Oryzias latipes: one gene and its partners. The protein of the gene in region 1 purifies or fractionates together with the protein of each later gene. This does not show direct contact. Links are inferred from orthologs where the notes say so. Each region holds a gene or a part of one and is shown on either strand. Other genes may lie near its edges.

What was found.
Region 2: the proteins of tmem192 (region 1) and lamp1 purify together in Homo sapiens (affinity purification with mass spectrometry; 3 studies listed by BioGRID and IntAct, with this or other methods). This does not show direct contact. The link is inferred for Oryzias latipes from reciprocal best matches to the Homo sapiens genes TMEM192 and LAMP1.
Region 3: the proteins of tmem192 (region 1) and acp2 purify together in Homo sapiens (affinity purification with mass spectrometry; 3 studies listed by BioGRID and IntAct, with this or other methods). This does not show direct contact. The link is inferred for Oryzias latipes from reciprocal best matches to the Homo sapiens genes TMEM192 and ACP2.

The regions. Positions count from the first base shown.
Region 1 is NC_019859.2:19,547,934-19,552,082, reverse strand, and holds the start of tmem192 (transmembrane protein 192), read left to right. Parts: upstream 1-1,325; 5' UTR 1,326-1,479; coding exon 1,480-1,509; intron 1,510-1,842; coding exon 1,843-1,998; intron 1,999-2,429; coding exon 2,430-2,691; intron 2,692-2,795; coding exon 2,796-2,918; intron 2,919-4,149.
Region 2 is NC_019861.2:16,437,360-16,440,548, forward strand, and holds the end of lamp1 (lysosome-associated membrane glycoprotein 1), read left to right. Parts: coding exon 1-117; intron 118-834; coding exon 835-960; intron 961-1,033; coding exon 1,034-1,100; intron 1,101-1,182; coding exon 1,183-1,350; intron 1,351-1,499; coding exon 1,500-1,639; 3' UTR 1,640-2,589; downstream 2,590-3,189. Other genes in the region: grtp1 (growth hormone-regulated TBC protein 1), read right to left, coding at 3,031-3,123, 3,188-3,189. UniProt on the Homo sapiens protein: Lysosomal membrane glycoprotein which plays an important role in lysosome biogenesis, lysosomal pH regulation, autophagy and cholesterol homeostasis.
Region 3 is NC_019860.2:17,043,361-17,047,501, reverse strand, and holds the start of acp2 (lysosomal acid phosphatase), read left to right. Parts: upstream 1-1,329; 5' UTR 1,330-1,422; coding exon 1,423-1,503; intron 1,504-2,895; coding exon 2,896-2,991; intron 2,992-4,081; coding exon 4,082-4,141.

The DNA of each region.
Region 1 (4,149 bases):
TCCTTCTTAATGATTTCATCTGCTGTCTGCCTCTATCACAACTGTTGCCTCCCCAGAGAATGAGCCGTCTCACTCTTTCCTCTGTCCCACCTACATTTGGACAAGTGTCTTTTTCTCCTGGACACAGTTCAATTTGTTGTCTTTTATAACAGCTGTATTATGGTTAACAATAAAAACATTTGAAATTGTCATAATTTATTTGCTCTCTGATAATGAGTCCAAATGAGATTTAAGGAACCGGCGTTTTAAAACATCTAAAAAATGTTTAACTTAAATTTCTGTGAAGATTCTTAGACTTCCTAGTCATCTTATCACAGGATTCTGTTACTGAGCTGAACAATAAAAGTTGAGACAAACTGAAGAAGCTACTCGGATGAGCTTTGAAACTTCTACAAGATCAACCTTATATATTCAGTTGCCCTAAAACACGTGTCAAACTCAAGGTGGCCCGCCATGCCATCGTATGTGGCCCGCGAGAGCATAAAAGTTTTTAATTTCTTAGAATAAAAAAATTTAAATTGGTGTGTATTTATTCATATCTTGGGGGAATCAGACTTGAAATATCGGATTGGGCAACTATACATTAGGACTTAAACACTGTCCATATAACCTAACCTGACAGAATAAAATGTAAAAGGATTTATGCTAGAGTAACAAGCAAACGTGTTTTCTACGCAATTGTAATTGTCACTAGAAAAAGTTATAGTAAATAAATAATGAGTTATTTAACATTAAGGAGTAGTTACGTTTATTTGTCATTACATTTTGTTACATGTATAAGTTATATTCTTTTGAGGACAGCAACTATGCTGATGTGGCCCTTGGTGAAAATGGGTTTGACACACCTGCCCTTAAAGAACAGAATCCCGGTTGAACCTGTGTGAAAAAAATGTATTGTTTTTTTTTCTTTTTTCGCTGAAGTGAAAATATTTTGTACAATAGAGAAAAAGAAAAATGCCTAAATGACTTTCTCATTATGATCAGGTTTTGTGGTTTCCCTTAACACAAAGCAGTCTCAGTGTACAACAAGCAGTCTATACTAAAAGTAAAGCAGATTACTTGAAGTTTACTTTTTATGTATTATCTAGTATACTTCAACCACTACAGGAACATGGTCTGTAATTTACTTGCAATAAATATACTCAAGTTTTTGCTAAGAGCTGTGTCATACCCTCCTTGATAAAATAACACGTGCGTGTGTGGGGGGTGTCTTTTGTTTTTTTGTCTACCAAAATTTGGGGTAAATAATTTCCCATATATACACATTTATTAACCTTTTCTGAGTTGCGCTAACTCTCGCTTGTGAAGCGGAACTGTTTAGCCAGGAACAAATGTTCAACAGGAGTCGGACCAGATAAAGACGGAACTAGACTTTGCCGCTGATATTTCACAGTTGTCACTCGACCGGAAATAAACCAATAAGCAATAAAGCCATGTTATATCTTATTGTTTCTTTGGCTGTTTAGGACGACCACATAGATGGACTTCCAAAGACCTTCTGCTCATGTAGTAAGTACTTACTGCTTTACATTAACTAGCAATTAATTACCACCAACTCACCTGACTGCCCAAAATAGTTGCTAGCTAGCACGGTTTGCTAAAAACAATAACTAGGAGCTGCATTGTTTTATTTGTTAGCGACTTCATGACTCCACCATTTGCCTAAACAGGAGCCATCTAATTTTTTAAAACGTTTGTCTAGAGTTGAATTACTGTTCACTTAACAATTTAGCTGCCAAGTAGCTGCTAAATAAGTGATAATTTTATTTTTTTCCATTAAAAAATGTACACTTATCTTTTTCCTTTTTTCTTTACATGTAAACTTTTTCTCTCTCTTTCCAGCAGGCAGGTCCTTCAGTAGATATGACCCAGAGTACAGAGGAGGACACTTTGGTAGACGGACCACTGATCTCTGCTGATGCACTTCATTCTGCCATCAGAAGAGAGTTTCAAACATTGCCAACACATCTTCATGCTGCCTTGCTGTCTCTTCTGCATGTATGACGCCCACATGTAGCTTGTACCTTTTATAAATCATTTTATATTCTCTTTCTGATGCTAATTTGATTCTAAAGAATATTTTCATTGTTTGTGACTGTATTTATTATAAACTGTTGCTAATGTTAGTTTTGTCGGAGGGACTCGCAAAGTTCCTTCAACCTGGATGGGCCATTTGTGGGTGTTTATAAAGAACTCAGCCTTTTTTAATTGTTTATTTTATACTCAGCGTTAAGCTAAAGTTTATGTAAAAACTACATGATATATTTTTTATTCTCTAAGTGTCTGCATCGACTTTTAGCTGCAAATGATCTTTTTCCATCTAGGCCCAGTAAGCAATTTGTTTCCTGTTTGTTGTCATAAGACTGTCACGAGGCTTTTCGCACTAAATTGTTCTTTAATGACTTTGTCTCTTTGCTTTTTATTCCTAGATTGTCTTCGTTGTGTTGTCAATATGTGTGGCCGTTCTGTGTGTGCTGAAGTTTGGCCAAGAGGAGAGGTGTATGCACTTTCTGGGAAATGAACCTGGCAACAGCATCATAGTTTACGCAAAGGCGTGTTTGTGGCTGCTGGTCCTGGCGTTCTCCTGCTGTGTGCAGCATCATCACAATAAAGTTCGGGGCAGAGGATACCTGCAATTTTACAGACAAACACAGCAGCTGAAACATCTGCCGTTCACAATACACTCTTCAGGTAGATGTACATTCACTTACTTCTGACGTAAAGTTCATGGATATCCAACAGGTGGCAGTAAAGAGTGATTTTTTTTTTGTTTTGTTTTGTTTTTGTCTAAATAGGAAATGTCTTGATGTTGATATTTCTGACTGTCAGATTGTCCCAGACGGTGCGTACCTACATGCTTCTCAGCATTCTGGGGCTGGAGCTTTTGTTGACTTTTCCATGTCTTCTGTACTACGCAGGTAAAGACACATCTCTTGTTATTGTAATTTGTTTAAGATGGCCACTGATTAAGTGCACACACACAGGAGTTTGTTTCCATCTTTAGAACATATTGTAATGCTGTTTTTTGTTGGTGTTATGCTGCACATCTGTTCATACTGAAGTGTGTCTGGGATTTAACACGTGGTTCACGGGGGGAGGATATCTAATTTTATTCTTGTGGGTAATGAGAGCCTTGCAAGGCCAATGATTATGTAACATGAACTCCATTATATAGCACATTCTATTGAAATGAAACTATAGGAAGAAAGCTCTGGCATAACCAGACCAAGGTGACCATCTGATGTGACTTATTGGGATCACTGAATGACTTGTTAGGCAAAAGAGATGCATTAGAAAAAGCTACAGTTAGATTAGTGTTTTTCAACCAGTGTGCCGCGGCACACTAGTGTGTCGTGGGAGATGGTCAGGTGTGCTGTGGTAAATTGCCCTCATAAACTGATCCAAAAACATTTACCATCTTTAGGATATCAGCTCTTTGTTCATCCAAACAGGTCCTGATAAAACACTGAGAAATTAGAAATATGAAAAATCGTAAAATAATTTTTTCTTTGTGTTTATTTTATTATTATTAAAGACATTTTGATAAGAATGACGGTACCACGATTTATCAGGAAAAGTCTGTATCAGGAAAAGTCCCGCCCCTTTAACTGTCTCCACCAATCATTCTTGGAGGCTTAATCACATGTCATCACTCTGACCAATCAGAAGTGGTTAAAGTCTTCACTTCCTTGTTCCGATTCTGCTCATAAAGTTTCTCAGTTCTAACAAAAATACCAGCAAAAGCTCGTCTTTAGCGGTGTAGCCTTCCACAAAATCCGGTGTCAGACGGTGGAACAATTGAACAAAACAATGAAGCTCAGAGACGCTAGTCTTTCTGAGTTCGGCTGATTTTTGCACTACATGTCCCATGATGCATTGGGTTAAAGTGACAGCGTCTCGGCGCTCCTCTTAACGTCTTGAAACCACAACGAACGCACATCAAACAGTTTTTAAATCTTCTAACTTAACTTTTATTACATCTTTTAGAAAAAACAGCTGCAGCTTCCAGCTTTTTCTGCCACAATTATCACAAAAATGCATGTGAGATTGCAGAGAGGCTGTAGATCAATACAGACTATGAGTTTGTCCTTTTTTTTTTTTTTTTTTTTGGATGCTGGTGTGCCACGGGATTTTTGTCAAGGTTAAAGT
Region 2 (3,189 bases), on another chromosome or scaffold:
GCAGGAACTCCCGAACAGGGTTCCTACTCCGTGAAGAACGCCAGCGGCACTGTGTGTCTCATGGCCAAAATGGGAGTGCAGCTCAATGTCAGCTACTTCTCTCAGTCTCAGAATAAGGTAAGACACAGCAGTTTCTATAGTTTAAGGGGTCATAAAACATGTAGATTGAAGGAACTTTGACCTCAGAATTTGGTCATGTCATTGGATTGGAATAGTTTGTGCTGCTGAACCAACAACACTTGTTAAAATTGAGCTTAAGTGAACTACAACTCTGAAATCTTTGAGTAATAGTTCCCCAAGTTTTCTGAAGGACTTCAGTTATGTCAATTAAGTTTTTTGGTTCTTTTTAAACAATTCTTTTAAAATGTTTCTCCTGGTCTAGCTGTTTTGTGCTGACCTTTGACTCAGCTGCTAGAAATGAAGCATGTGTTGATTTTAAATGTATAATGTGACCACAATTTATTTTTAAAAGTATGAACCTTTTGTGTGTCTTTGGTGTTTTTGAAATGGTTTCAGAAAACACAAAAACTTGGGGAGGGGGTTATCGTTTTGCTTCATAAGCAACACTTGGGGTTTCATCTCAAGTTGGGCTTTTTTCTTTAGGGTTGCCATAGTGACTCATCCACATCCTCACAACCATCTCCTCTATTTATATTTATGTATTTGGCTTGGTTTAAGTTGGATGCTCTTCACAACACAGCCCTCTACAGTTACGGTCCTGGAGATGGAAGCTTTTGACCAAGAAGCTCCAGAAAGAAAGTTTGAACAAACGAGGAGCCACGGAAGACATGTGCAGAGCTGTTCATTAATCACTGCAGCTTTTCTCCCTCTCAGACTGTCCAGGAGCTGCTGAACCTGACTCCTAATCTGACCAGCTCCTCTGGATTGTGTGGAGGCACCAATGCCACCTTGGTTTTGGCACAAGAGGAGACCACTGTGCTCAGCTTCCTCTTCACTGTGGTACGTTCATCAATTATCTTTGACATTTAACTCTATTTCTATTCTTCTGACAAATCCTTCTTCTCTTCCACAGAACTCAACATCCAACAAGTACCATCTAAGCGGGATAACTCTGCAAGCGAACTGGACTGACATGATGTGTACGTTACCCGGTCTTTTTCCACATGCGTCATTTTTGTTTTAGACTTTGAACTGAGGTTGAGGTTCTCGTCTTCTGCACAGCTCCCTTCTCAGCCAGTAACACCAGTCTGGATTACCTGAGGAGTTCTCTGGGACACTCCTACATGTGTAACGCCGAACAAACTCTCTTTGTGGTGTCTACGTTCTCCATCAATATGTTTGAACTACAGGTTCAACCGTTTGGCGTCACATCCACCCAGTTTGCCTCAGGTTAGAGCTTCCTTTTCTTAGATTTGAGCTTTAAGAAACTTCAAAACTGTTCACATGGACAGCAGACATGTACAAAGTCAGAGTAATGAACATTTATCATGTTGGCACAGTTCTAAGGCGATAACACTTCTTTGTGTGTCTGTGTGCAGCTGAAGTGTGTCAAATAGACCAGGATCAAATGTTGATTCCCATCATCGTTGGAGCGGCTCTGGCTGGGCTGGTGCTGATTGTCCTCATCGCATACCTAATAGGCCGAAAGAGAAGCCACGCTGGATACCAGACCATATGAGGCCACTTTGTCCTGCACCGAACAGACTGAACCTGAATGAGAACGCTGTGGATGCAGGAGTTCATCAGTTCATCCAAATGATTCTTTTCTAAATGTTTGTGGATGGTTGGAAAAGCCCAGTTCATCTTAGATTTGTTCGTCTGACTTCTGATCACAGATTGGATGAGTTTAAAACACATTTATCTTAAATATTGATTCATTTCTATTGATGGCATAAAATCATTTTTTTTCTGAAACCATTTTTAGCAGTAATAAAATTGACTGGGCAGAGGGAGTGAAGCAGAAAAGCTAGTGCGGAGTGAATTTCCTTTTGTCCACAGGGATACTTTCAGCCTTAAAGAATATTATGTTGTAAAAGGGAAAGCTCTGAATATTCCTCCACATTGAAGATCAGCTAATCCGATTTTTGGCCTTAGCTTTTTTGTGTATGTCCAGTAAAAGCAAAATGCTATATTTTTAAGGAAAGCACCCTGATTAAATAAAAGCTTTGCACATTAAGTTTCATCTTTTCCTGTTTGGAGTTGAATTGCTAAAGTCTGTCATAGTCAGTGTCCAAACCCCAGAGAAAGTGGTTACTCTTTGCCTTTAATCCTGTGAAAAGTGGTTGTTTTCCAGCAGCTACTTCTCACTAATTTCAGGAAATGTTAGCTTAACTGCCTCATTTTTGTAAAAACTTTTCATGTGTTTCACACTTGGTTGACGTGTTTTGATGTTTCCGTTTTCAAATGCTGATCAGTCTTGAAAGTCTGTATAAACTGCTCAAAGTTTTTTTTTTTTTAGTGCAACTTTAAAATCCCGTGTTGAGGCCACATGCAGTCAGTGCACGGATGCTTTTCCTTCAGAAGAAATGTTGGGGGGGAAAAACTGCGACGTGAACCTTTATTTTTCTAGAAAATGCTTGGTCTTGTTTTCTATCATGATTACTCCAACTGAATAAAATGTAAATTTAAGACTTGTGAATGAATCATTTGCTCTTTTTAATCAACTGTGCATTTCATCACACAATCCTCAGCTAGAATCAGTGCTCTCCAGAGGAGTAAAGTGGTAAAGGTTAGCACAGTCACATTATAAAGAAACACTTAGCTAAAGCACTACTTGAATATTTACAGACCATCTTCTAAGCATCTATTTGAAATTCAAAAATGACTCTGTCAACTCTTCAGTTACTCAGAGAAGATCACAGAATAAGTTCTTCATAGCTAGCGTTTGATTCCCCTTGATGGCATCTAATACATCCTGGACTAAAGTGCTTGATTCCACATTGAAGTCAAATATATTTTTAAATCATTTGAAATGATCAGCTTATACTTCACTTTTCTTGAGAAGATTTTAAGACGAGGTTAACAGTGACTCGGTTCCAAAGTTAAATGTGCAAACAGGCTGCTATAAGATCAGGATTCTTCAGCGACGATTCGAGCTCGACACGTCGTCCGCAGTTTGGTCAGCGTGGCCTTGGAGAGGCTTCCGGGTTCACTGAAGATTTTCTGAGGACGAGGATTTCAATGTTATTATTCTGTTGGGGAATAATGGGCTTTTTTTGCTCCTTACCT
Region 3 (4,141 bases), on another chromosome or scaffold:
CAAAGACCCACCAAAGAAGAAGCTGCTGTTACTTCTTGGTACAGAACTAACCAAAATGTCTTGAAGGAAATCTCTGACATATTTGTGTGGGGTCAGGGTCATGACCTACAAAAAACAGCAAGGCATTGTTAATGATTGACATCTTTGTTGGACCAAAGTAATTGGCGGAAGATGGCATTTAAAAGTCAAATTAACCCAACCTCCAAGTTTATGTGACTGATAATCTTGAGTTACTGTCATTATTTAAAGTTTGGATCAAATGGATATCTTAATATGAAAATAACTCTTTTATTATCCCTCCAGCAATCAGCTATCTTAAGAAGACACTTCTGAATAGTGTTCATTATTTAAAGGTTTAGTGATTATTTGCTAAAAAATGTGAAATGTGTTAATAACAACAGATACACAGACGGTATTACAGGAACGCACAGTTCTTTGAGCGACAACACTGGCCTCTAGTGTCAGGAAGGATGAATGCCAGGTAACTATTTTCTGATTAAAAAGTAGACTTTGGAATGTTTGATTTGTTTATAAGGGCTAATCTTCAGAAAGAAATGCATTTCATTTTGTATGAAAAAGTGGGTCAATTTTTAGAATATATTGGGCAGGAGGAACTCTAACTTAATGAATATTTAAATAAAAGAGGAAAAAGGAAGATTATTGATTTTAAAACCAATTGCTTTCTTTTCATTTTAATTCATTGTTATATACAAAAACATGCAAATAAATGCCTGCTTTTAAAAATATTTTTACCACTTACATGTTTTGAATAGATAATATTTTTGTAAAGCGTTTTATTATATTTGTCTTCAAATAAGAAGATAAATAAGAACATTAGTTATCAAATATATCAAATCCAAAAGACAGTTAATTTTCCTCATTTATTAAATCCTAAAGTGGGTTAATTATGTGTAAGAAAAAATGTAAAAAAAAATAAACATTAAAAAAAAGATTTGGACCTGATGTTGCTTTTGACAGTATTTGGAAATATCAACATAAAGAAAAGATTATTAATCAAACACGAATGAAGTTGTCCACTAAAATCGCCCAATTTTACTGAAAAACAGCTTGAACAGTCATAAGACATTAAGCAAATTGCTGAACTTCCCTTTTTAAAAAAATCACTGTGTCAAAATAAAAGCAGTGTCATGTAACTTCTACCTTTTTGTCTTCTAAAAGAGCACGTTCGCTTAAAAAATGAATAAAAACTTAAAAATGTTCTGAAATTTGAACAATAAATGCTTCCCAAACATGAATTTTTTGTATTTTATTTATCCTTCTCCAATTTTAGGTATTCTTTAACACTTTCACTTCCGGTTTCTCCACCAATGAGAGATGCATAAACGGGACGGTCGGAGGAGCCGCCGCCGCCGCGCTGCTTAGCACAGCTCTTCTGCAGAAAGCGGAGCCACGGACGGAGTCATGATGGTGTCCTCCGTCGTGCTTTTCGTCTTCGCCGTGGCTTCCGCGGTCGCGGAGAAAAAACTGGTGTTTGTGACAGTGGTAAGTATTTACGAGTGGGGGGATAATGGCGTTAAACTCACGTACTTTTTTTCGACAATAAATATTTTTTTTTTTACGTTTGGAGACACAAAAAAACTTTTCAAAAAATACTCAGTGTTTCTGTAAATTCGTTATAGAAATGCAAATAAACATTTAATAAATAAAAAATATATCCTTTTGGCATATTTTGCTTTTTTCCTCGAATGAATTTTGTCCTTGCGGTAAATACACTATCAGCTAGCTAGCTAACAGATAAACTAATTTAAGCGTTTGCTAGTTTTTACGAATTAAAAAAGTTATGTAGTACATTGATTAGTTATTAAATATATTGTTTTTTTAGCATAAAAATAGTATTTAATCGTATCCTACGGTGTTATTCGTGTAAAAAGTCAATGTAGTGAACATGTGATAAAATACCAGAAAAAGTTAGTAGAAATTTATACTACAGTCATGTAAACAGAAGATAAGGGGTTGCTGATGGAGGAATATACGTTTTTTTTATTTCTTTCTACCTTGTTTCAGTTCATTTTTGACTTTTGTTTATAATGTTCCTCCTTTTTCTTTCTTTGGAGTAATTGTTTACATTCTCTTCTTTTCAAGCGAAACCAATGGCTGTGTTATCTGTCTGACCTTATATGCAGATGACCTGAAAACACAAAGAAGCAGTTTAGATCTCACTCCACTGATCTAATGTCACAGATGAATACATTTTTAGTAAAATAGAACCGCTTTAACTAGATACTTCTGTTTTCTTTTAATCTGCAGCCAAAAGCGGCACAGTCTAATTCCTGTTCTTATTCTTAGACCACTAATTTCCTTCTGCAGTAAACTCTTCCTAAAGCGAACGAGATTAGGGCCTCAATAAACGATATAATCCTCACCACAAAAAGAGATTATGCACTTTTCTTTTTGCAGTTGTTAGACGCTTCAGTCTAGCATGTCGGATTTCTCACCTTGTTGTTTTTTTGGTCTTTTTGGTGGTTTGGCATTTAGGGAATGAGACATTTTTAAAGTTTTGAACTGGTTTTTAAACCAAAGTTCACTTCAGCAGAGCGTGTCGAGGCTTTTAGGGCCCCGTTTAGAGTTTGGTGTTTATTTTCCTATAAGTGTGCCGTCAGCTGACTGAATGTCATAACCGCCACTGCTGCAGATAAAAGCAGAACAAAGGTTTTGGCGGGGGTATATTTCATTAAAAACTGCCCTAGATTTTTCTTTATAAGTGCACGTATTTGTCTGAGGGTTTGATCAACTTTTTCTGTTTTTCTTCAGATTCTGTGCTGCGTCGCTTGAGTTGATGGACATCCTTTCGAATATTGGAAATTTTTGAGTTGATGTTGTGCAACAATCGTGTCACCTGATGTGTTTCCTTTTGCTTGCTTTTCATGTCTTCAGCTGTTTCGACACGGTGACCGATCGCCTGTCAAAGCCTATCCCACTGACCCCTACCAGGAGAGTGCCTGGCCTCAAGGCTTTGGGCAGCTTTCTCAGGTATGTGGACTGACTTGCATACTCCGTAAAGTTTGGACACACCAAAAAATCTCAAACATCTGCCTTTTGATATGGAAAAATCTGCATTTAAAAATCACCTTAACTTTGTTTAAATCTTCATTTTTAGTGGGGTAATTATTGTGAACTGGAAGAATTTGCCTGCAGCCCCATACCACCAAACTTCCACCCTCGTGCTTAACAATAGAAACTGCCTAAGCTGGAAAGATTTGGAGGTTTATAAACGCGTCAGCTAAATGTAACCAAGTCATTTTCAACGGCCTGAATCAGTGTGTTTTCTTTCTGAGACCTGGTTCATTTATTATTGTGATGAGCCTTTTCTCACTCATTTGTCCTCTTATTTAGGAAATTCTCAAGCAGTTTTTTTCTTTATTAAAAAATGTTTTCTAAGGTTTAACTCATAACTTTCATTATTTAGTTATTTTAAAAATATATATCAGTAATACTTTAATTATATGTGGGTGGGGTTTAGCAGTGAATACAGTCTAAAGAATATGTTAAAAAAAACACTATTACAATCACATGATTGCAGTTTTTGTGTGTGATTTCAGATCAAGCATGAATATTAACTTCACTATAAAACATCCCTCATTTATTTCTTTTTAGGATTAAAAAAGTCTTAAAGAATACATTAAATATTTTCCATAAAACAATTGGTTGGGGTTTGATGGGATTTGAAGTCTTAAACGGGTCATTAGATCATTAGAGTTAGAAATCCTCCTGGACCCATTTGTGGCCAAACAAATTCAGCGAAACTAAACTTTCTGAACCTCCTTCCCAATGAAATATTATTTAATACCAGGATTCTGGAACAGTTGGAGAGTTTTATCATTTTATGGTCCTTAATTTCACTTGATGGAACCATTTTTCCATCAAGCTAAATGCTAAAGGGTTGTTTGGTTGGATTTTATATAAACACATGAAAATAAGAAATGCTCAAATAGAAGAGACAGCATTGTAATAAAGATTTGTCAGTTTTGATTCCTTTTTCTGTTTATTTTTGGGGAGAACTTAACTAGGATTGACATAAAATCTTGCAGAACCTTCTGGACTTCTTTTTTCTGCTCTATAGGAGGGGATGAGGCAGCACTTTGAGCTGGGTCAGTACCTGAGGTCTCGCTACAAGAACTTC